Linked DNA regions of Xenopus tropicalis. The protein of the gene in region 1 binds, or shares a complex with, the protein of each later gene. Links are inferred from orthologs where the notes say so. Each region holds a gene or a part of one and is shown on either strand. Other genes may lie near its edges. The genes, in order: prkaa2 and prkag1.

Region 1 (11,984 bases):
AAAGACAGAAAATTAATTGGCTGATGTTACCTAATGTGTGATGTATGCGTGCCCTTTGTTTGTGTGCACTGTGAATTGTATGATCCCAGGGGGCAGCCCATAGTACTTAAAATGGCAATTTTCTATTTAGAATTACCCAATAGCACATCCTACTAAAGTATATTTTTATGAAAAGGGATTCTTTATGTGATATATATTTTTATTGAGACCTACACTGTTTAAGGGTATTGTTTTCCTTTAACATAATATGCATTAATTAGCCAAAAAATAGTTATGTCTTGGCTTTACCAATTGCATTTCATAGTAAAAAAAAAAAAAAGTGGGGTTTTGTGTCAGAATTCTGCATTTTTCTTGCGTTTAGAGCATTTTAGCTCTTTTTTTCTAAATATGTTAAAGGAATACTGTCATGGGAAAACCTTTTTTTTTTTCAAAACGGATCAGTTAATAGACCTCCAGCAGAATCCTGCATTGAAATCCATTTTTTTAAAAACAAAGATTATTTTATATTTAATTTTTAAATTTCACATGGGGCTAGCCATATTCTTCATTTCCTAGGGTGCCACAGTCATGTGACTTGTGCTCTGATAAACTTCAGTCACACTTTACTGCTGAACTGCAAGTGACACCACCCCCCTCCCAGCAGCCGATCATCAGAACAATGGGAAGGTAGCAAGATAGCAGCTCCCAGTAGATATCAGAATAGCACTCAATAGTAAGAAATACAAGCCTAGTTACATGGGAGGAGAAACAGTAGGTTATCTCAGTGCTGTCCAACTGGCAGCCCGTGACCCCCCTCTGTGTGGCCCCCCACCTGTCTGGCTGCTTTGGTGGCTTACCTTTGTGAAAGCTTTAAAGGGTATCAGTACTAAGATTAAGTGGACCCCTGCATGGTTCTGACCTCAGATTCAGGCTGTAATCCCCCTGAACTGTTTAAAAATGTAATGGGAGTTTGTTAGCAGTTAGAAATAGCCATTAAATGGTCCCTAAGGTGTGTAATTATGTGCTGGGGGTTGCTGTGCTATCCACAGGGGAGGAGGAGGCATATGGATTTAAGAGTGTGTCTTAATATGACATATGAATGACGGTTGATATCCCTGCAGTAAGAACCAAGCATTTGGGTTTTTGCTGCACTACCACCATTGTGATAAAATGGGTGTGGTTTAAAAAGGGGCAGTGGTCAAAACTGGCTTCCATTAGCAGCCCTCCACCATGTATGCTAGAGAAATTCCAGCCCTCGGCACCACAGAAGTTGAATAGCACTGGGTTATCTGAAAGCATTTCTAATGTGTAGCGCTGGCTCCTTCTGAAAGCTCAGACTCAGGCTCAATGCACTGAGATGGCTGCCTACACACCAATATCACAACTAAAAAAAAATACATTTGTTGGTTCAAGAATAAACAGTGTAATTTAGTAAAAAATTATGGCAAAAATCATCTTAAGTCTCTAAGCAACAAATTCGATAATGACACTTATGGGTGTATTTTCTGCATCTAGACATTTTCCCTATGCATTCATAATGGAAAAAAATGTTTTTGGGGCACTCTACAATAGTTCGCAAAAATTTTGCTTATGTTTTAAAAATGTTTATGTTTTAAAATACTAGAAAAACCTGCTATAATGTTAAAATAGTTCACATCACTTTGGAGCAGGAAAGACTTTTTAGGCAACACAACTGTAAAACTGTTAAAATTTTGCAACAGGTTATAAGTTTCCACCAATAGCAAATTAAAACAAAGGAAACTGAAACTGATTTAGTAAATTTCAGGAAATCCCAAATAGTTTTATGTTATATAACAGAACACCGTTCCAAACTCAACTTTTTAAATTATGTAAAAAAATATTTCACATAAGTACTTCCAGAATGCCAAAATAATTCCAAATATTAGTAAATCATCCGTACAGTGTTTGTGTAATGGATATATATTAGAGAGGAACTGTCACTACAAATAAAAAATCCACTAAACTGTAGGGGAGGTTTAATTAATCCATCTCACAACCAACACCATGAATGATGTGTCTGCAGCAGGAAAAATATTTGGTTGAGTGAGAGAACTAATAAACTATTTATAGCTCAGAGACTGTAAGAAAAATAATAAAACTTGTTCGGCAAATAGATTTATTAGAATCCCCTACAGTCTGGGTGCACATTAACAGCTAGGACACGTCCATGTTAAGAGAATATGTGTAATGTCTTTTTTGCTGCAGGACTGTTCCTAGTAACTGCTGTATGGATTGGGGTTGGAAGATGTGTTCACAACTGTGATGAAAGACAGAAGGCACAGAGAAAAGTTAAAAAAAGCGAAAGATTGTTTATAGTCTGTACAGGGACAAGTTAAGATAACTGCATAATACAGTATAAGCCACTGTTCTAGACACAACAACAAAAAAACATGTAAATTGTTACTAAATATGAGAAACCAAAAAAATCAATTTAATAAATGGCTGCTTATAGTAGAGCCAGATTAGGCATTTAAACAATATGAAGACAAGCACTGTCATGTGAAGGGCTGCATAAGCAAGGAGTACTGTAGGTTATAAGCAGGATCTTTAGGTCAATACCAAGGCTCCTTGGGAGAAAAGATGTTAGAGGCCTGCTAGTGCAGTGGCCAGATGATGACCTAAATGCATACCTTTATACCTATTATTGACAGCTGGGCCTTTTCTGCCCACACACAGTTCTTCATGAAATAGTCAATCTGATCCTACTGCCAACTTATCTGTTAGCTCTGGCACTGGGGAGGCAATGGCTTGCCTTTCTCCATTATTTTATGAAATGAACACAAATAAAACAGCTAATTTATCAGGCACCACTTTGAGAAATAACTGAAGGCACTTGGTTCCAAAGCTTCCATTTGTACCTTCACATAGTTCGCATCAGAGCCAGTGGATCTGTCCTGCCTCCTCATGCTATCAAGCACACTGTCCCTATAGATGTAGGGGAACTCCAAAACTACCACCACCATGAAGGTAGATTCTGACAGTGGTCTGTGTCAACAGATGCAGGGTATTTGCTCCTAAAGAATCGGGCACAGACATGATTTTGACTACTTCATGTGGGGTACTATAGCAAACCAAGTTTTGTAAAGGGGCTGCACCTCAATACACCACTGATATAAGCACCCTGATAACCTGAACCTTTACTGTTAAGTTTGTCTTTTAACATAAGCTCTGCCTGCAGTTTGTAAGTTAAGCACATTAGATACAACCATACTGGTATTCACAGGGCCGCCATCAGGGGGGCACAGGGGGCACAGTCGTCCCGGGCCCGGGCATTTTTAACTTCAAAGGGGGCCCGGCCGTGCTAGAGTTTTCTTAGCTCGGGCCCCCTTTAAACACCTCCGGGCCCTGCGACTGTCATTGGCGGCCTCCAGCGCTATGTCCCACGGCCCCCGCTACACCTGCACTTTCATAAGGTTGCGGCCCGTGCGTACTGACGTCACACGTACGCACGGGCACAACCTTGTAAAAGCGCAGGTGTAGCGGGTGCCGTGGGACATAGCTGAGGACGCAGGGAGGAGACGCAAGTGAAGCAGGAGGAGCCGGAGGCCACAGAAGGAGCCAGAGGTAGCAGGAGAAAGCAGCAGGATGATTGGGAGGATGCTGAGGGGCAGCTGGAGGATGCTTTTGGGGGGCCCTGGGGTAGCAGGAGGAAGCTTGTGGGGGCCCTGGAGGATGCTTGGGGGGCAGCTGGAGTATGCTTGGGGGTCAGCAGGAGGATGCTTTTGGGTGGCCCTGGGGTAGCAGGAGGAAACTTGTGGGGGCCCTGGAGGATGCTGGGGGGCAGCTGGAGTATGCTTGGGGGTTAGCAGGAGGATGCTTTTGGGGGGCCCTGGGGTAGCAGGAGGAAACTTGTGGGGGCCCTGGAGGATGCTGGGGGGGCAACTGGAGGATGCTTGGGGGGGGCCTGGAGGATGCTGGGGGGGCTGGAGTTTGCTTGGGGGGCCCGGGAGGAAGCAGAAGGATGGTGGGGGGGGACACAGGGGGGGAGCTGGAGGAAGCAGTGGGGAGCGGGCCATAGTTGAGGAGACTGGGGGAGGGCCACCAATGTTTTAGGGAGCCCTGTGCTGGCTAGCAATATTTTAGGGAGTCCCTGAACTGGAACCAATGCAAAACGTAACCCCTGGCCACCAATGTTTTAGGGGGGCCCTGGCTACCAATGTCTGTGTGTCATTTGAATTGATGGGAGGGGTCACTGGGGGTGTGGCCATTGGGTGCATGGGAGGAGGGGGGCCCAGAAAATTTTATTGTGAGGGGCCCCATGATTTCTGATGGCGGCCCTGGGTATTCATCAAAAATTTGAAGATGCATAATAAATGGTCCGGGAGCAGGTACATGAAGAAGCTTTAAGGAGCAGATTCTCGGCCTGTGTTTATCTGCAGGCCGAGAATCATCCACATGTGGCAGTAGCCTTACAGTTATTTTGTCACAGACAAAGCACATATATCTAGAAATCCATATTAGTCCAAACATGCATAACAGCATAATTCTGGATGCGACACTACATACTAGGAAAATTATAATACCCTAGAAAGATAGAATTGTTAATGTGTTATTGGTTGATTTTTTTTATGCATAATACCCCATGCCTTCAACCTGCAAAGACATGAAAACACATATAAAATACTGAAAGATGTGGATTTCAAGTCTAGATGTGCAATTTCCTATGCAAGTTTTAGGACTAACACTCACCTTCCATTCAAAATCAAGTTGCTTCATAGCTCGATAAACTTCAGCCATAATATCATATGGTTTACTTTGGCTGCGGATCCCCAAGTGCCACTTGGCTTTTTTCACAGCTAGGGGTTTAGGTTTGGTGGTGTTCAAAGCATCTAAAGGGCATCTTGCCTTTGGACTATCTGCTATTAGAGGTGGCATTCTTTCTGGGTGTGGCTTCACTCCAGGTGGGATGTGCAAAGTGCTTTCGTCTATGAATGAGCCAGTTGGTGGACTAGAGGCGAGGTAGAATTCACTGGCCTGGTTCATTATTCTTCGATTGTCTATTATAAGATGGTAGGCAACAGCAAGCTGGTCTTGTGGGTCACCGCTGTATAAACTGTTCATAACTTCGGATTCTGTACATTCAAACTTCTCACACACCTCCTTCACAGCCTCATCATCAATTACATTGGCATCATATGACGGGTCTTCTGGAAACAAGTAACTGGGTAAATCCTGTTTAAACCATTCATGTTCTCTGAGGAGAGAAATGCCATTTTTTAGGAATAGCACTGAAGCATGGAAACCAAAACATAACTGCAATAAAACTACCTTCAGTCTTCTAATCCATCATCTCCTCTGTACAACACAAAGTCATCAAAATATTTATAATAACATTTTATTTTCATTTATATCCGTAGCTACTTTACAAAGACAATTAGTAACACCAGCTAGGCAGTAGACGGGTCTCATATAGTGTATAAGTATTTAATTATACCATACTTCCTGAACGGTGCAGATACAGTTACTGAAAATAACACTTTTCATCAAAAAAAACCTCACTTAAGATTTGGGTAAAACAAATAAATGGATGGAAGTGCATAAAAAAATTTTCGACAACAAATCAAGCACAGATTCCTTTGCAAAAGGGAAAAGGTCACTTAACAGATTGCAGCTGAAAGTTTCTAAAAAGTGAACAAGTGTTCCTTAATGTTACTGGCATCCACTTCAGGATGTGTGAAATTATCCATAATCCACATTTCATGCTCTGATATACGTTACTATGGTTACTGGCTCTGCATAGCATAACAGACCTAAAAATTACACTCCTCCATTTATCATTCAAAATCAAGGCTAAACCACATTTTGCTCATTGCCTGGGGTCAGACCAGGGGCACATTTTGTCCTGCTAACATGTTTTTAATTCTAACTAACCTTTTAATAAAGGCCATGAGCCAGAACAGCAATATGTGTCTAGCACTTATCCACCTGCTGTTTACTAAAACAGAACTACAGAACACTTACATACAAATATCAGAGGTATACAGGTATGGGATCTGTTATACAGAATGCTTGGAATCTGGGGTTTTCCAGAAAAGGGGTCTTTCTCTAATATCTTAAGGCTACTGAAACATTAAATAAACCCAACAGGATTGCTTTGCCACCAATATGGATTTTTGCAGCTTAGTTACCATCAAGTATAAGGTGTTGATTTATTATTACAGAGAAGGGGAAATCATTTTAAAAATTAGAATTATTGTTTATATGTTTAAAATGGAGCTTTTTGGATATTGGGTTTCCAGATAAAAATCCTATACCTGTACTAAGCATTGGTCACTATTTTCATTGAACCATTTCTGTATTTCATTTCAGTATGTATGAAACTGTTTTGCATAAAAAATTATTTGTTACATGAGCATCATTACCTTATGTCTTTGATAGTGGCACGCTTAAGAGGGTCAACCTGAAGCATATGCATTAACAATGTAGCAGCAGAGCGGTTTAGGTACTCAGGGATGTAAAATACTCCTCCTCTTATCTTCTTAAAAAGAGTTGGAACATGTTCATCATCAAATGGTAGAGTTCCACAGAGAAGAGCATAGAGTATCACTCCACAGCTCCAGATATCAACCTCAGGACCTGCATACAATCTACACAGAAAGGTAGAACAGACAATATAATACACTACAATTGGAAATAGGTTAAAAGCATGGTATTACATTTAAATGCATTATGAAGGGCCAAATAAGAATAACTCATTCTCCCAATACAGTCTCACAACTTGAAGCGTAACAAAATCCCTCATAAACCTTGAAAATTGTCTCTCAAAGGCACCCATCTTTTCAACAGATAGTCTGAATGTACTGATAAGCATTTGAGCATGCCCACTTGTCTATCCCTGCTCTCCCACCTGATATCATACTAATACCTAGCATAGTGTATGTGTGTACGAGGAAAACTGAAGTCACTTGTTCCAATATTCAGGCAGGAGGTTTGCTAAACTGAAAGGAATGTGGTTTAAAGGCATAACTTATGCTACATAGTTAATTTGGGTTAAAAAGACAAAAGTTCAACCCCTCCAAATAACTCACAGTGCATATACATATAGAGAGACCTATTAATATACTCAAATATATAAAAATATACACATAACTAAATGTAGATCTTAAGATCACTATAGACTTGGATATTATGCTTGGACAAAAAGTCACCCAAGTCACAGAATATGCCATCACAGCATCACCTGCGGGGGTTTTTCACAAGCTCACAAACCTTACAGTGCAGAACCTTTTGCTGCTCAAATAAAAGTTTTGTTTTTTTTTAACTGAGGGCTGCTGTATATGAGAAACAGGGCAGCCCTTTATAAATAAATCACTGGTTGCCTGCAGCCTTAGTTGCCCTTAAAGCAACTCTGAAACCTTTTTTATAAAACAAGCAGTGTATAATAGTGCAAGAAAATAGTGTTTTTCCTCATTTTATCCGACTGAAAGTAACTTGGAAGGATGCTATTAGTAGATGCCCTTTATCCCCTCTGGAGCTAGGGTAGCAGGTGGCTCTGGTGTTTGGACTGGCACCAGAAGATACCAATGTAGGTGCTGAAGCAGACGCCATCCAGTAATGGCAGTCAAAACACAAGTTCTGCCCACTGCCACATTTACATTGATATCCACAAGAAAGGCAAGCTTCTACCAAAAGGACCACCATCATGGCACAAAATTGTAGCTAATAATTAATGAAAAAAAAACAAGCAAAAAAATACAAATAAAAATGATGTACATTATGTACCTTACATGTTTATTTTATGATGGCATGTGCTGCTGGCATTTATAAACTGCAGTTAGAATTCCTTTAATAGCAAATTCTACCTATCAATGCTAAATTAATGCTGCACCCCTTAGCGCCATATAATGACGTGACTAAGCAACTTCAACAGGCTGTATTGCATAAGTTATTCACGGATTTTGTGTATAGTAAAATACTTTACCTTCCCGATATGACTTCCGGTGCTGCATAATTAGGTGAACCACAACTGGTCCGCAGGAATTCCCCATCTGACATCATGTTGGATAATCCTATGAGAAACAATTTCCAAGATAAGTTATAGAGGTGTGATCACTTACCTTACATTATACAACATATATGCATTTTGTTGGTTGCAGCATGAGTGAGCGTGTGAAACAACTGGAAAGAATCAGAATATCAAATGAAATACAAGTATGGCATCTGTTATTCCGAAAGCTCTGACTTTATGGGAAGGCTATCCCCCATAGACTCAATAAACAATTGACATTTTTAAAATTGATTTCCTATTTCTCTGTAATAATACAGTACCCTGTACTTGATCCCAACTCAGATATAATTAATGCTTGACAATGCATTATACTTCTCCAAATATGGAAGGAATGCACTTAAAAAATGTTTCGGACTGATTTACTGAGATATTCCCCTCAAACCCTACTAGTCCCACCCATCTGTGGCCACTTCCTGCTGCCTCCTTTCCCAAGCTGAGCAGGGGAGCTGGTTGCACTCAGCACTCTAGGATAGGAACCAATCAGCAGCTAACCTGACTAAATAGGAAACTGAAGTCTGTCTTTGCTTGTGTGACTGCAAGGTTATGATTATCCCCCACATACTGATGCTCTGGCAGTACACAACCACCCCTTGTTTGAAACACAGACTGGGACCAGGGAGGATCTATAAGAAGCTCCAGTAAAGAGGTCATTTTTACAGATGGTATTAGTTTTTAGCCCAAAGTAAAACTAGCATCATAATGCATATTATTCATAACTGCCTCCAAGATTAGGGGGGGGTGGTCATTTATCCTATATGTTTCCTTTAAGGCACAGAGGTTCAAATGACAGAAATAATCCTTATCAGGAAAACCCCAGGTCCCAAGCATTCTGGATAACAGGTCCTATACCTGTATTACAAACTACCTGTAAATGCACATTTTATCAGCTTTAAAAAATAACAAAGTTTGCATACTTGCAATGAAATGTACTTTAACATTTTCAAAAACTTGCAAATATATATTTGTCATAGGTATTATTTGGCAGTTTTCCCTACAATTTGCCTTGTTTTATTTACACACACAGAGACCCATTGGGCACTAGCCATAACAATTCCTTTGCAAGGTCATGTAATGAGATTATTGCAAAATATGCACAACTAGTTATGCTGGCCAATAATAGATAACTGTGCTGCTTCAGGAATGGCTATCTTTATAACAAGGGTATGTTTAATTTCTTTGCTGTGTTCCTACAGCAAATGTATTGCTCTCTATAAGGTTAGACTACAAAACAAATTTATAAAATAAATTCTCTTTCAACAATGGGCAGTTTTTCCAACTAATAACAAAAGAATTTTAACTGAAATTGCAGAGTTCTACATCCCTGCACAGCTAATGATTGTATACTGACAACCTTCAACAAATGACCTGTTTGCTGGCTACATTCTTAGAATGTTTGGGAAGTCACATACCAAAATCAGCTATCTTGGCATTCATGTGTGCATCAAGCAGCACATTCTCTGGTTTCAGATCGCGGTGAACCACCATATGTCTGTGACAGTAATCTACAGCAGAAATGATCTGTTGAAAAAGGCGTCTTGCCTCTGCTTCTTCAACCTACAACAGATAAAGCCAATGAATTGCACTGGATTTCCTAATAAGGTTGTTAGTTACAGTCAAGAAAAAACATATTTGTTTAAACTTTACAGATACGTTGGTTTAAAGGCACTTTTCTGTCATCTTAATCATTATACCAATGAAAAAGGTAACATATAAGCATTATCCATTTTATAGTCAGGTATCAGCAGTTTGCCACTGGTATATAATTTTGATCGTGCTTTCTCACTCATCACGATACACACAATTTAGATGTCTGACATCTGGATTCCCTAGGTTTGGAATTACATTTTCCAAACCACACAAAACTGATAGTGTGCTATGACAGTCCGCTGAGAAAAATACATTTACAAGGGAAGAGAAACAAGAACATGACACTCAAGTCTACTATGTTTTTTTTTTAGTTCAACTAGGAAAAATCTAAACAGATCAGAATGTTTAATAGCTTGAAAAAATAGGGTGCATTTATCAGAGACTGTCATCGTCTATCCTAATGAAACATACACTGCTGGCTTGAGCCTATTTGTGTTAGTAATATTGTAAAGAAGCTTATTTTAAAACTGAAGTCAGGGACCTCTTTCTGAAAAAATATTCACTTTGATAATGTTAACAAATGCCAAAAGTCAGCCCAGTTCTCCATGTTTTTACCCCCAATATTTTTCACAAAATTCCAGTGTAACTGCACCCACTACATTCAGACCAAAAATCCTGTTCTTAATAAAAAGAGGCACACAAATTTGTGGCTGTTATTGCAAAAGAGTCCAACTTGTACTTCCAAGTTTAGAGGCAGCACAAGATGGGAAATGGGCAAGCACTTACGCACCCATTATTTGAGTCACATATACAGTGGCTTGCAAAAGTATTCGGCCCCTTTGAACTTTTCCACATTTTGTCACATTACAGCCACAAACATGAATCAATTTTATTGGAATTCCACGTGAAAGACCAATACAAAGTGGTGTACACGTGAGAAGTGGAAAGAAAATCATACATTATTCCAAACATTTTTTACAAATAAATAACTGCAAAGTGGGGTGTGCGTAATTATTCAGCCCCCTGAGTCAATACTTTGTAGAACCACCTTTTGCTGCAATTCCAGCTGCCAGGTTTTAGGGTATGTCTCTACCAGCTTTGCACATCTAGAGACTGAAATCCTTGCCCATTCTTCTTTGCAAAACAGCCCCAGCTCAGTCAGATTAGATGCACAGCATTTGTGAACAGCAGTTTTCAGATCTTGCCACAGATTCTCGATTGGATTTAGATCTGGACTTTGACTGGGCCATTCTAACACATGGATATGTTTTGTTTTAAACCATTCCATTGTTGCCCTGGCTTTATGTTTAGGGTCGTTGTCCTGCTGGAAGGTGAACCTCCGCCCCAGTCTCAAGTCTTTTGCAGACTCCAAGAGGTTTTCTTCCAAGATTGCCCTGTATTTGGCTCCATCCATCTTCCCATCAACTCTGACCAGCTTCCCTGTCCCTGCTGAAGAGAAGCCCCCCCAGAGCATGATGCTGCCACCACCATATTTGACAGTGGGGATGGTGTGTTCAGAGTGATGTGCAGTGTTAGTTTTCCGCCACACATAGCGTTTTGCATTTTGGCCAATAAGTTCCATTTTGGTCTCATCTGACCAGAGCACCTTCTTCCACATGTTTGCTGTGTCCCCCACATGGCTTGTGGCAAACTGCAAACGGGACTTCTTATGGTTTTCTGTTAACAATGGCTTTCTTCTTGCCACTCTTCCATAAAGGCCAACTTTGTGCAGTGCATGACTAATAGTTGTCCTATGGACAGATTCCCCCACCTGAGCTGTAGATCTCTGCAGTTCGTCCAGAGTCACCATGGCCCTCTTGGCTGCATTTCTGATCAGCGCTCTCCTTGTTCGGCCTGTGAGTTTAGGTGGACAGCCTTGTCTTGGTAGGTTTACAGTTGTGCCATACTCCTTCCATTTCTGAATGATCGCTTGAACAGTGCTCCGTGGGATGTTCAAGGCTTTGGAAATCTTTTTGTAGCCTAAGTCTGCTTTAAATTTCTCAATAACTTTATCCCTGACCTTTCTGGTGTGTTCTTTGGACTTCATGGTGTTGTTGCTCCCAATATTCTCTTAGACAACCTCTGAGGCCGTCACAGAGCAGCTGTATTTGTACTGACATTAGATTACACACAGGTGCACTCTATTTAGTCATTAGCACTCATCAGGCAATGTCTATGGGCAACTGACTGCACTCAGACCAAAGGAGGCTGAATAATTACGCACACCCCACTTTGCAGTTATTTATTTGTAAAAAATGTTTGGAATCATGTATGATTTTCGTTCCACTTCTCACGTGTACACCACTTTGTATTGGTCTTTCATGTGGAATTCCAATAAAATTGATTCATGTTTGTGGCTGTAATGTGACAAAATGTGGAAAAGTTCAAG
Region 2 (11,984 bases), on another chromosome or scaffold:
TGTGCCAGAGCAGTGTGAAACTTGCCTTGTCCCACAGCTACATGTCTGTGGATGTTACTTTAATAACAGACACAGCAATTATGTTTGAAGTGCACAGAAAAAGATTGATGGCAAGAATAGGGCATTTAAAATCAAAAATAGTGTGAATAAGAGAGGTAATTAAGTGCTGTTGCTTTTTAACACGAGCTGCTTCCACAACTGTTTTAAAAGCTGCAAACTTGTACAAATAAAAGGAAAGATAAGTGTAAATAAATGTAAGAAAATAAAAAAGAAATAATAAAAAAAAAATCGGAATGGTGCGCATAGTCAGCACCATTTTAGCAAGAAAACCACTGGACACTATGAAAACCCTGCAAATTCCTAACGAAATGGCCCTCTTTCTCCATTTCCCTGCATCTTTCAACAGTGAATCTTCTGGGAGAGCACTGGGCTCTTCAGTGGAAGCGAACAGAAAAGTGATTCTAGATTATCATAGCTATAAATACAGTAATGTAGCTTTTAGGTATACCCTATACAGGTTTTATTTTTTATATATATATAAAAAATATAATCCAGACCCAAGCTTGAAATACTTGATTTTTTTTCTGCTTGTATTAAAAAAAAACAAAACAAAAAAAACTTGCTGTGTTTGATTTTAATTTTGGTCTTCACTTGCAAATATCCGGTTTTCATTTTATAAATATATATATATTTCCTTTTTTTTTTTTTTTTTTTTTTTTGCCATTTCCATTTTTTTATTGACAATTCTATGAGGAGCTGTAATTTGTGCGGTGAGAATTCTGTACAGAAAATTTGTCCTTGGTAGAAAATATAAAATTATTCCTTTTTTTAAAAAAAAAAATGAAAATAAAAACTTGTACGTGGCATGTTTTGTATTGAATATAATTTTGAAATGTATATAATTTATGTGAAAGGGGGCAAGTAAGAGAAGTCTCATTTGCTTCTTTTGGTTTGTTTTTAAAGGACAAATAAAATGCATTTTAAATACATTATGGCCTGTTGCATTTTTTATTCATTCATTTGCTAATATACTAGTTTTAGCATGGGCGTATCTGCAGGCCTGCAGAGTTTTACCAGGTTGGTGGGGTTTCAGTCAAGTTGGGCCAATTTTATTTAAATGCTAAATTAAAGTTCTAGCCTGTCTACTAATTTGGGCTACTTTTGCACAATTTCAAAATACACCAAATTTTATTTTGTATTTTCTGCTAACAATTTATTTTACTGGTCCCTTATTTAAAAAGTTAATTGCCGGCTGCATGCTGGATAATGTAGTTTTACTGTAGGCCCAAGGAGGCCAGTATAGGCAGGGCACATCAGTACACAATGGGCATAGAAAATGTCAGGGCTGGTCTTCAATGGAGGGAAGCCTCAGAGTATGGGCAATTTTTCATTATGAAATTTGCGATGTATATAGATATATTGTACACGCAGGGTGGTTTTTTTAATCCATATAAAGCTATATTAGGGTATATAGGAACGAAAATATATAATTTGCTTTTGTATACACTAAAAAAAAAAATAGACGGTATTATATGGTAAAAAGAAAATCGTGTGTACGGTAAGTACTGTATAAACATAATATAGCGTTCTACACAGTAAGGACGGTCATTTTATGATGCCCCAAATAAAGATGGCTTCTGCGGAAACTCAGAAGAGCATTTCCTCTGCAGCGTGACGCACTGTGGGCGGAAGCGAACGTACAAAGAGGGCGGAAGTGGTCTAAATTAGTCACGGATGCGGAGGCCGCCATGGAACCGGTGAGCGGCATGAAAGTTGAAACATGTATTGTATTAAATAGAAATTAACGTAGCTCTAGCTGTCTTGTAGTGCTTTAAAGGCTACATGTAATATTACGGCTCTGGCGTTGCTAGGCACAGCCTGGATGCTTGTCACTTTATCCCTGTGGGCTTTGGTAAAAACACCAGGGTTATGAGGAAACGCTAGAGCAGTAGAACATGGAAGTGTAATAGAGAATAGCAGAAATGTACTGCTTGCTGCTGTCCTGTTGGAAATGAATTGCAACTATCCGCGTCATCGGTCTGTCTGATCCTTAGGTTTACCGATCAGCTCAAGTTGGTAGTGGAGAAGTTATATAGTTAGAATTGCACTTTAATAACGGTTTCTTCGCTTGCATACGTGACAAGTCCAAATGCTAATTAAATGGATATATATAATATATATATATATATATATATATATAATTGTATATAATGTGTGCTTCTCCTGCTTATAAACGGGCCATTTGTTGGACCATGGCCCTTTGGTACAAGCGTGCCTACAGTTGCATTATATCAGCTTGAAAATGTTCTGAAAGCTTGCTATGATTATCTTAGTTAGCCAATAAAGGTATCACCTTTATACCCCTTTTGTTATTTTTTATTTCAAAAGGGTTACCCTGTAAACATTTTTTGACTGGCTAACACAGTACATCACCTTTTCCTGCATGTACAGTTGCATTGGAATGCACCATCAGTCTGTACATAGGCAATAGATTCCCCTGCCTTTTTCTCTATAGAAACACCTCACCAGCATGTGCTGTATTGCAAGTATTAATGTATCATAAGTAGTCCTGTTGCACAACTAATGTGCTGGCTGCCCTCATTCATTCCTCTATTTACATTGTCCCTCTGCCCAGCTGGTTCCTTTTCCTTTCCTTTTTCCTGTTTTTTTGTTTTTCTGTTAGATGTTCACACCAATTTAGAAAAAAAGGAACTATGGTTTTCTTAATATATTCCCCAAACCTTCACCATTCTTTGCTTTACATTCCTAGATACTTACTTTTTACTTATCAGCTATTTATTTTCAGTCTCTCTTTATCTTATTTGTCCCCTGAGCTTTTTCTTTTTATAAAGCTGGTACCATTTGAGAGATTTCTCCTGGGAAAGGGAGGGGTGGTGGGTTACCTGTCCGAATTAGAACCAAGTGTTTGTTTGAAGAGATTGAGCATGAGGCAACACAATAGCAGTTTGTACTTATTTTATCAACTAAGTAACCGCCATGCCTTATACATACAAACACAGAGTACTAATGGGAAGATCTGTAATATTTTATGTGAAATGCTTTATGGCACTGCTAGATAGTGAGACTATATGGAGAGCAATATGGCTATGTAATGCAAAAGTTAAACTTCCTGTGCTCTGAGTTGATCTTATGATATACTGTTGGGGTGGCTCACCTGGAATCCACAGCCGTATACTTCTGATTATTTGTGCTAAACTATAACCCAAATTTGTTTTGGAGAAATTGGAGAGGCCATTTTGGCAGTCCCCCATGTGAATGCAATGTATTCTGCCAACAGTTAGCTCCAATCTGTTGATGCCACTGAGGGACTGGAGTCTCATCCAACAATTGTTCATGTTCTGCCCTATGGATTGCTAGGTAATCCACCCTAGTGTCATATTAAGAACATGGGAGAAGTAACTTATTTTAGGCAGAGAAATGAATACTAATGACCATCAGATGAGGACATCCCTCTAAACGAACAGTTAACTTCCTAACCCTCTGACTGCCTGATGGCTGTAAGTGGGTATTGCTTTGACCATCAAATTTACACTATCCACTTCTAACTTTGGTGTCTGTAATGTAGAGTCCACTGGTAGTTAGACAGTTAAAGAGCAAGTCTGGTGTATAGGGTTATGGGAGCATGCAACATAGCTGTGTTTTATTTAAAGGGGCTCAGTTTACTATGTATACTTCTTTTTAAAGTGGCCCTGCTGTTTTTTTTTTTTTTTTTTTACTATCTCCTGGACCCTACAAGAAAGGGTATATAGCAGACATCTGAGTACTCATTAGCTTTGCCTCACCTCAATGAAAAGTGTCTATTTTTTTCGTTTCCCTCAGTAAAATATTTTCAGTTGTTCTTCAGTTTCAACTCCCTTAAATGAAGGAGTCAGTTCTTTACTTAACAGGCCAAACTGATAGAGAGCCATTTATCAACACTGGGCAGTAAGCCATATCAACTAATCTGTTATTAGCTTTTTTTTTTTTTCTTCAGCCAGCTGAAGGTAGAACAAATAGTCAAATGGTTGCCATGGGTAACTGGCCAGGTTCAAAATAAATGAGCCCCAGAATGTAAGTTCTACTCCCACAGTACTGTCATGCTTTTTGCGCCTTCAGTCTATTGATATTTTATTTCCATAAATCAGTATCTTGCCTCAATAATGAAACACTATTATTTGTATCTCCCTTTTTATTGTTACTCTATTTTAAACCTTGTACTTTGAAATAAGTGCAAATATGCATGCTATTTATTTGTTAGTTGAATGGGATATTTTTGCTGTGTTTTTTTTTTAACTTTTTTTGTGTTCGTTGGTTGGCCATTGAGATTTTCTGATATTTATGATGTAATTACTCTTTGCTGAATAAGAAAAAAAGGAAAAAGATGTCTGTGCCCTTTTTTGTGCACATGGACTATTCCTTTTTAAATGTATTTTTTAAACTTTAATGCTGTGATTTCTAAACTGTTGAGTTTGGTTTTTTTTTTATTTTGAGGTTTTTTGCACTTAAGTTCGAAATTCGAGTTAGAAACGCAAATGTCTGGTATTTATTAGCTTACGAGTTTCTATAGAAGTCAATGGGAGTTGTCCTAGGCAAAGTCAAGCCATATTGTTGTATTTGAGTTTGTAATTCGAGATTATGGGTTATATTCGGGTTCAAACTCAAGAATTTGAGGTTTTTTTTAATCGCCCAAGTTTACCACTTTAATAAATAAGCAAACAGTCGATATTCAAATTTAATTGATTTAGAAAAACAAAACAATAAAGTGCTAAGATTAAAAAAAAAAAAAAAAAAATATGACAAAGTACAATTAATACTACCCCTAGGGCCATATTGTGTGCACCACAATTTACTGTGTGTGTTGACCTTAAAATGTTAGGCCAGCACACAGGGAACATTGCAGTAGGGTAGTAACTACAGTAATGTTTCTATAGTCTTCTTTTAATATATGTTTACATTTTTCTGAATTGTAATATCTCTTAATGTTTTAGGGTTCTGTTATGATCGAAAGCAATATGCAGGAGAAATGTGAGCCTGCTTCAGATGGTAAGTACATTTGTAGTAAGCAATACAAAAACTAGAGTAGGGTGGCCATGGAAACTTTTCTAATTGTAGTACATATTTATTTTTAATTTTTCTCTATTTCATACATAGTTCTGGAATCAGACAGTGGAGTTTACACGCGGTTTATGAAGAATCACAAATGTTATGATCTCATTCCCATCAGCTCAAAGCTTGTTGTGTTTGATACATCCCTGCAGGTGAGATCATTTTGTTTTTCTTGCAGTAGAACCAGTATCATGTGTTTTGTGACCTTGGCTTTAGCTGGATGCTTCCCAAACTGGGGGGACGGCTAAGGGGGCCCAGCTTGAAGGACAGTAAGGGTCTCCTAGTTGCTCCTGGAAGTCCTGCTTCAGGGTCAATTAGGGCAAGAAAACAATTGTTTGCTGCCCTAGATGTACTTGGAACTGTGTCTAAAGGACTGATACAACGGTGTATTCATATACAGGTATGGGAGCCCTTATTTGGTTTCCTGTTATGCAGAATGCTTCTGCTGGGAAGGCCATCTCTTTCCTGTAATAATAATAATTCTCTGTAATAATAAATCAGTGCCTTGTACTTGATACTAACTAAGCTGCATAAATCCATACTGGTTGCAAAATAAGCCTTTTTAATATTTGTAATGTTTGAATGCTTTTTGCAGATATTACGGTATGGTGATCCAAAGTTAATAGATCCTATACCAGTATCTGTAACCTTGTAATGAGGAAGCTTGAATAATAAAAAGGCCACAAATCTATTGCTTTAATTATTCAAACCTCTCTTAAATTTGCAGGTGAAGAAAGCATTCTTTGCTTTAGTCACTAATGGAGTAAGAGCTGCGCCACTCTGGGATAGCAAAAAGCAAGGCTTTGTAGGTAAGTGTCTAATAAAAGTATCATGTTAGCATGAGACATGAATATCCTAACATTTCTACTAAGCTGTCTTTCTTTTGGAAGCAGAGTATTCTTTAATCAACAAAATGGCTTAAGTTTTTGATTTGTTCACAAATCACCAAATAAAACAAAGGTGTTCTGTTATTTTCAGTTATAGCTCTCACATTAACCTCTCGGCAGCAGCTGATCATACCTAGCCAAGCAAATGTACATGTTGGATATCATCTGTGTAACTGTAATTTCTACAACTAAAATGTGTTTTGTAGGTCTGTGTATTTATTAGTAATATTAAAGAATATGTAAACCTTTAAAAATGAATGTAACATTGATCAGGGTGCTTTTTTTAAGCACTTCTTTAATTTACATGGTTTGTTTTGTTGTTTCAAAGCTATTAAGCTGTTGTTTAACTTGTAATAAGTTTTGTTAAAAAACAAACAAACAGTGCCACCTACTGGTCAGTTCCTCTGTATGGTCTTAGAGAGAGAGTTCAGAAGGGAAACTGAGAACTCTCTGAAAGTTGCTCTGCTCATATGACCTTCCATTCTGTTTCCTAACAGACTTAACTATATTTCTGTAAACTGAAGGGTGGATTCTTACTTGTAGTGTTTGGTAAGCATGTCTTTGTTAAGGCTGATGCCTCGCAGAGCGATAGATCTTTCCACCAGCAACAACAGGAGTCCATAGTGGAAAGGCAATTGCTTTGGTTGCACAAAGTTGCCTGCAGGAGGAAACCGCAAAGGCCTTTCCATCAGCAATTCCTATTTGTGCCAGTGGACAGGCATTTTGGAGCGGGTGACTAACATGCTTCATGAGAGATCACCCTGATGGGATACTGCAGTCTCAGAATGATAAATCTTTGTAAATAATTGTACCTTATAGACAGACAGCTTCTTTGGATGAACATTTGGCATATGCTATCCTCAAATAAAATATCACATCGGTTTCTTTATTGTGTGTTGGTAACCTTTTCACCATTTAATCAGCGCTCCTGGTTAAAGGAGAACTAAACTGAACCCTAAAAATAAATATGACTTAAAATGCTGTATTTTATATACTGAACTTACTGCACCATCCTTAAGTTTCAGCATCTCAATAGCAGCAATGATCCAGGGCTTCAAACTTGTCACAGGAACTCCCCATCTTGTCCTCTGAGCGGCTGTTGAGAAGCTAAGCTTAGGGGTTGTTGCAAATAATTAAGCACAAAATGTGGTTCACCTGTAATATAAGCTGATGCTACAGGGCTGATTATTAAATTTGTATGCTAATTGCACTGATTTTAGAGCTGTCATGCACTAATTATCTGTATTATTTACAAATCAGCCTATATTGTGACATTTACATTGTATATATACAGTATATTGTGCGTTGGTTCCTAAGCTCAGTAACTGACAGCAGCCCAGAGCATGTGCAGTGAATCAGCAGAAAAGAAGATGGGGAGCTACTGGGGGCATCCTCAGGGGCACAGATCTTCTATGATAAAGGGCTGAGGTTATCTTGGGCTGGTATAGGAGCCCAGAACATAATGTTCAGTATTTCTAACCTACTTCTTTAGTTCTCCTTTATATCTGACCTTTCATCTTTTTAACTTTCCTAATATAGGTATGCTAACCATAACCGATTTCATCAATATTCTCCATCGCTACTACAAGTCACCAATGGTGAGTTAAAAAAGGTGCATCTAGGTATATTTTACAATCTGTTCTTTGTCATTACAGTGGTAAGAGATCCTCAAGTGCATTACTTACATTATATGATATATTATAATATTTATTATATGTTTATTAAACTTTTTAAAGAACACTCTGTCAGGTTTACATTGATCTTTAAATTACTTGCTTACAGGTGTACATTAAATGATTTTGAAAGAAATTCTGTGTTCATATTGTAAGGAAAATAGGTAATTCGAATATGTTGGTGCTTTATAAATAAATGTTAATGTAATGTAATTCACAGAGCAGAAGGTAGAGAGAACAATTCCTTAAAGATGGTACCTAGAACTTTTAGCAATTCAAAGAATGCAACACTGTTTAATGCGCCCTTCTCAGTACAGGTACAAAGGAATCTAAGTTGGAGTTATTCGTTTCATCTAATTTTTTCAAACCAGGTGCAGATTTATGAGCTGGAGGAACACAAAATTGAGACATGGAGAGGTGAGTCTGGATACAGGCGCATACACATGAGCAATACAATTTTTAGTGAATGCAGGATAGGCCTCCACTTTTCACTTATTTTACATATCTGGCATGTTGTACTGCTAGGCTTCATGAAGAAGGTACTGTATTTATTCCTGCATTTACCAAGAGGACCCACTATAACAGCCAACATATTAGATAACAGCAAGTGGCTGTTCATTTTAGGCTTGCAAATGAGTTGTTCAATCATATATTTGCATTGTGAAGTGATCAGTCTGCAAGGGCTTTTGTTTTGTTAATGTTCTGATCTGGATTTTTTTTTTTGTTTCCCCTAGAGCTCTACTTGCAGGATTCCTTTAAGCCTTTGGTTAGCATTTCACCCAGTGCCAGGTAGGAGCCAAGACACTGTTGCTGGGATGGTCCGTGATCTGAGAGCCTAATTGCAATGTTTCATATTAACTATTAAATTACCATGTGCCATAAGACTATTGCAGGGAATATTGTAAATGCACTGAGAAAAGTCTATCTTTTTCTTCCTTTTGTCCTTAGTCTGTTTGATGCTGTCTCATCACTGATAAAGAACCGTATACACCGTCTTCCTGTAATCTCTCCTGACTCAGGGAATACTCTGTACATCCTGACACACAAACGCATCCTGAAATTCCTTAAGCTTTTTGTAAGTCTTGCTCTATTTGTATTATTCCTTTGGCTTCTACACACAGACCTCATTTCATCAGAATTTCTTATTTTATATTTTCAATGAGAAGATGTCTGAAGTTGAGAAACCTGCTTTTGTGACTAAATCCCTAAAAGATCTGCACATTGGCACTTATGAAAATATTGCCCTTGTTCGCCCGGACACTCCTGTATATGTTGCTTTGGGCATCTTTGTGCAACGGCGGGTGTCTGCTTTACCAGTTGTGGATGACTCAGGTTAGTGAAGGATTTCAGAGACAAGTTACAGTCTGTCATTTCCTCCTGTTGCTTTGTAGCTAACATGAGGTACAACAATGTTCCAGCAAATGTTCTGAATTTAGCATTATCCACTTCCTCTATAGGTGCAATAAAGAAGTAATTGATATTGAACAATATAAGGTGTAAAGGAAAATGCCTGTCTCCCAGGGCACTTAGAAAACTGGAAAAATGCTGTAGCATGTCATATATACTCTGCTTAATTAAATCATTGTAAGGATAAGGCCCCACGGATTGTCAGCTTGCATATAAGCACACACTGACACATATGCCCTTACGCTTGAAAAATCTTATTATTGTGCCTGAACACAGAAGCAATGAATCCACCTGGGTGCAGGCACACTCAGCCAATATCTGCCTACATACGCCAAGTCTCGCATTAATTGGCGGATATCGACTGCGTGTGCCTGCACCTGGGCAGATTCAGTTTTTCCGTGTGCAGTCACTATTTGAAAACGTTTTTAAGTGTATGGGCAAATTATCAGTCTGTGCTTATATGCCGGCTGACAGTCTGCCTTGTGGGGCCTTACCGTAACTCTCCTTGCTTCCTAATTTGTAACTCTGTTAAATTGCTTAGGGGAGGTATACGTCCTTATTTAACAAAAGCTCAATATATACAGTATAGGGCTTGTACTTAAAAATACTGTTTGCCTTTTTATAATTAAGAAACATCACTTTCTAAATTTCTCTAACAAATAAACCGTTTCCTGGTTTTGCCAAGCAGATCAGAAACTGGTAAAATGAATTATCAGTCCACAGAAAAGCCTTTTAATGAGCTGCTTAGGGAAGGGAGGTGTTTGTTTATTCAGGGCTCCTTATCTTACTTTGAACAAATGACTCTAGGGGGGAGTGAGTTCAGTGAAAAACAGACCAATTTTTCATTAATGCTTCTTTGTTAAAATAAGAATAAGAAAAATCTCCTATTTATAGTTCTCATTTTTTTTGCAAAGATATATGAGGGGGGGTATACTATCTCATTAAAGGAACAGTAACACCAAAAAATGAAAGAGTTTTAAAGTAAATGAAATATAATATACTGTTGCCCTGCACTGGTAAAAGTTGTGTGTTTGCTACAGTAACACTACTATAGTTTATATAAACAAGCTGCTGTGTAGCCCCGGGGGCAGCCATTCAAGCTGGAAAAAAGGAGAAAAGGCACAGGTTACATAGCAGATAACGGATGAGCTCTGTAGAATACAATAGTGTTTTATCTGTTATCTGCTAAGTGCCTGTGCCTTTTCTCCTTTGAATGGCTGCCCCCATGGCTACACAGCTGCATTCTTTATATAAACCATAGTAGTGTTTCTGAGGCAAACTCACCAGTTGAACCAATGCAGGGCAACAGTACATTATATTGGAATTTCTTTCATACACTTGAATTTTTTGGTGTTACTGTTCCTTTAACAGGTGACACTGTATAAGACATAGCACACAAGTGAGTGTCATCTAATATATTCTTGTCCCTTCCAGTCCCCTGGCAACTTCCTATGTTTGTTTTTCAGCCACCCCGTCAAATTTTTCTAGGGATGCACCGAATTCTGCATTCGGTTCGAGATTCGGCCAAATCCAGGCTTTTTTTTTTTTTTAAGGATTCGGTTTTGCCCGAATCTGCGGTCCCGGCCGACCCGAATCTGAATGCTAATTAGCATAAATTAGTATATGCTAATTAGCATTAATAACCATATGCTAATGAGGATTGGATTCGGTTCGGGATTCGCACAAATCCTTCAGAGTGGGTTCAGGGGTTCGCCAAACCCAAACCCATGTTCATGAGTCAAACTCTACTATAGGGGCTGATTTGCTAAAACCCCAATAAAGTACTACAATGCCATTACCTATAGTAACTAGTCAGATGTTGTAGCACTCATTTTACTAAACAATCCCCAAAGTCTCTTGGATTTTAGGAATCTGCTATTCATAGCCACATTTTAACACATATCTTTAAGTAGTGTTCTTATATTCAAGCACTTGCCCTCTTGCCATACTGTATTGGCCAGGAATTTAGTCACTTTTTTCTTCCCTTACAGGACGAGTTGTTGATATATATTCCAAGTTTGATGTCATTGTGAGTACCACTTAAGCTATTGCTTTTGTGTTTAATATGTGAAAAGCAAGTGTGTGCGTGTGTGTATATAAATATCTAAAAATAATATCAAATTATCAGTATATTAAGGACATTGAGGCATTTTTTGCATTAAGCTACTAATACATGCCCTTCCCTTTAAACAAAACAGGGATTGTTTTTCCATATATTGTAATATATTCAAAGCCATCCCCGGTCTGGCCAGTCCTACACTCAATTTCATCTGATTCATTAAGAATTCTACTGCTTCATTGTACGTTTTTCACAGAGACTTGCTTTGCTTTTAAGGTTAAAATTTCTAAATGGTTGCCCTTTTATTGGCCATCACTGGGATCACCTGACTGTAGCTGGGGGTAAAGGGAATTTCAATGTGGCACTGGTCACTGCTCCTGTATAAATTATAGCAAAAAGGGAAGGTTGTGCGCAAAGACAAGAGACTCTCTGCACATATCCATTATAATAAATATATGAAGCACATTGAGACATTTTGTGTATAGAAATAACCTTTTTTTTAAAAAAAAAAAAAAAAAAAAATCTTTAAAATTACTCTAAACAACAACATCCTGCATGCCGTCTGATCTGGTTTCTGACTTATAAATTGAAATCTCCAGCTCCTTTCCTCTACTTCCTGTTACAGCGTGAAGCCCTGTTCCCTCTTCCTGCTTAGCTCTCATTATTTCTTATATTCACAAACAGAAAATCTATGTACCCCCAAAAAAATTTGACAGTGTAGTGAGTTCTAGTTCAACACCACCATTGAATCAATTAAGATGCAAGTGCAAGCAATCCATCAATACAGTGATTTAATCCAATTCTAAAATCCTGTTGATTTAACTGTGGCGTTGAACTATAACTCACTGCACT

Evidence for each region.
Region 2: the proteins of prkaa2 (region 1) and prkag1 are in contact, whole or in part, in a crystal structure (PDB 6B1U), measured with the Homo sapiens proteins. The link is inferred for Xenopus tropicalis from reciprocal best matches to the Homo sapiens genes PRKAA2 and PRKAG1. Residues at the interface, in NP_006243.2 of Homo sapiens: Asp329, Asn330, Ile333, Met334, Ala337, Phe340, Tyr341, Leu342, His366, Pro367, Glu368, Arg369, Met370, Pro371, Pro372, Leu373, Ile374, Asn444, Val446, Thr447, Pro530, Arg531, Leu532, Gly533, Ser534, His535, Thr536, Met537, Asp538, Glu541; in NP_002724.1 of Homo sapiens: His36, Asp40, Leu41, Ile42, Pro43, Thr44, Ser45, Val50, Phe62, Leu64, Val65, Thr66, Gly68, Val69, Arg70, Trp75, Ser77, Lys78, Lys79, Gln80, Phe82, Pro158, Glu159, Ser160, Gly161, Asn162, Lys170, Arg171, Lys174, Phe175.

What each region holds. Positions count from the first base shown.
Region 1 is NC_030680.2:87,567,254-87,579,237, forward strand, and holds part of prkaa2 (5'-AMP-activated protein kinase catalytic subunit alpha-2), read right to left. Parts: intron 9,563-11,984; coding exon 9,418-9,562; intron 8,010-9,417; coding exon 7,922-8,009; intron 6,588-7,921; coding exon 6,363-6,587; intron 5,195-6,362; coding exon 4,690-5,194; intron 1-4,689. UniProt on the Homo sapiens protein: Catalytic subunit of AMP-activated protein kinase (AMPK), an energy sensor protein kinase that plays a key role in regulating cellular energy metabolism.
Region 2 is NC_030678.2:136,343,981-136,355,964, reverse strand, and holds the start of prkag1 (5'-AMP-activated protein kinase subunit gamma-1), read left to right. Parts: upstream 1-1,741; 5' UTR 1,742-1,748; coding exon 1,749-1,757; intron 1,758-1,762; exon of another isoform or gene 1,763-1,782; intron 1,783-4,988; coding exon 4,989-5,043; intron 5,044-5,151; coding exon 5,152-5,258; intron 5,259-5,833; coding exon 5,834-5,915; intron 5,916-7,532; coding exon 7,533-7,591; intron 7,592-8,037; coding exon 8,038-8,083; intron 8,084-8,400; coding exon 8,401-8,455; intron 8,456-8,614; coding exon 8,615-8,741; intron 8,742-8,832; coding exon 8,833-8,998; intron 8,999-11,064; coding exon 11,065-11,102; intron 11,103-11,984. UniProt on the Homo sapiens protein: AMP/ATP-binding subunit of AMP-activated protein kinase (AMPK), an energy sensor protein kinase that plays a key role in regulating cellular energy metabolism.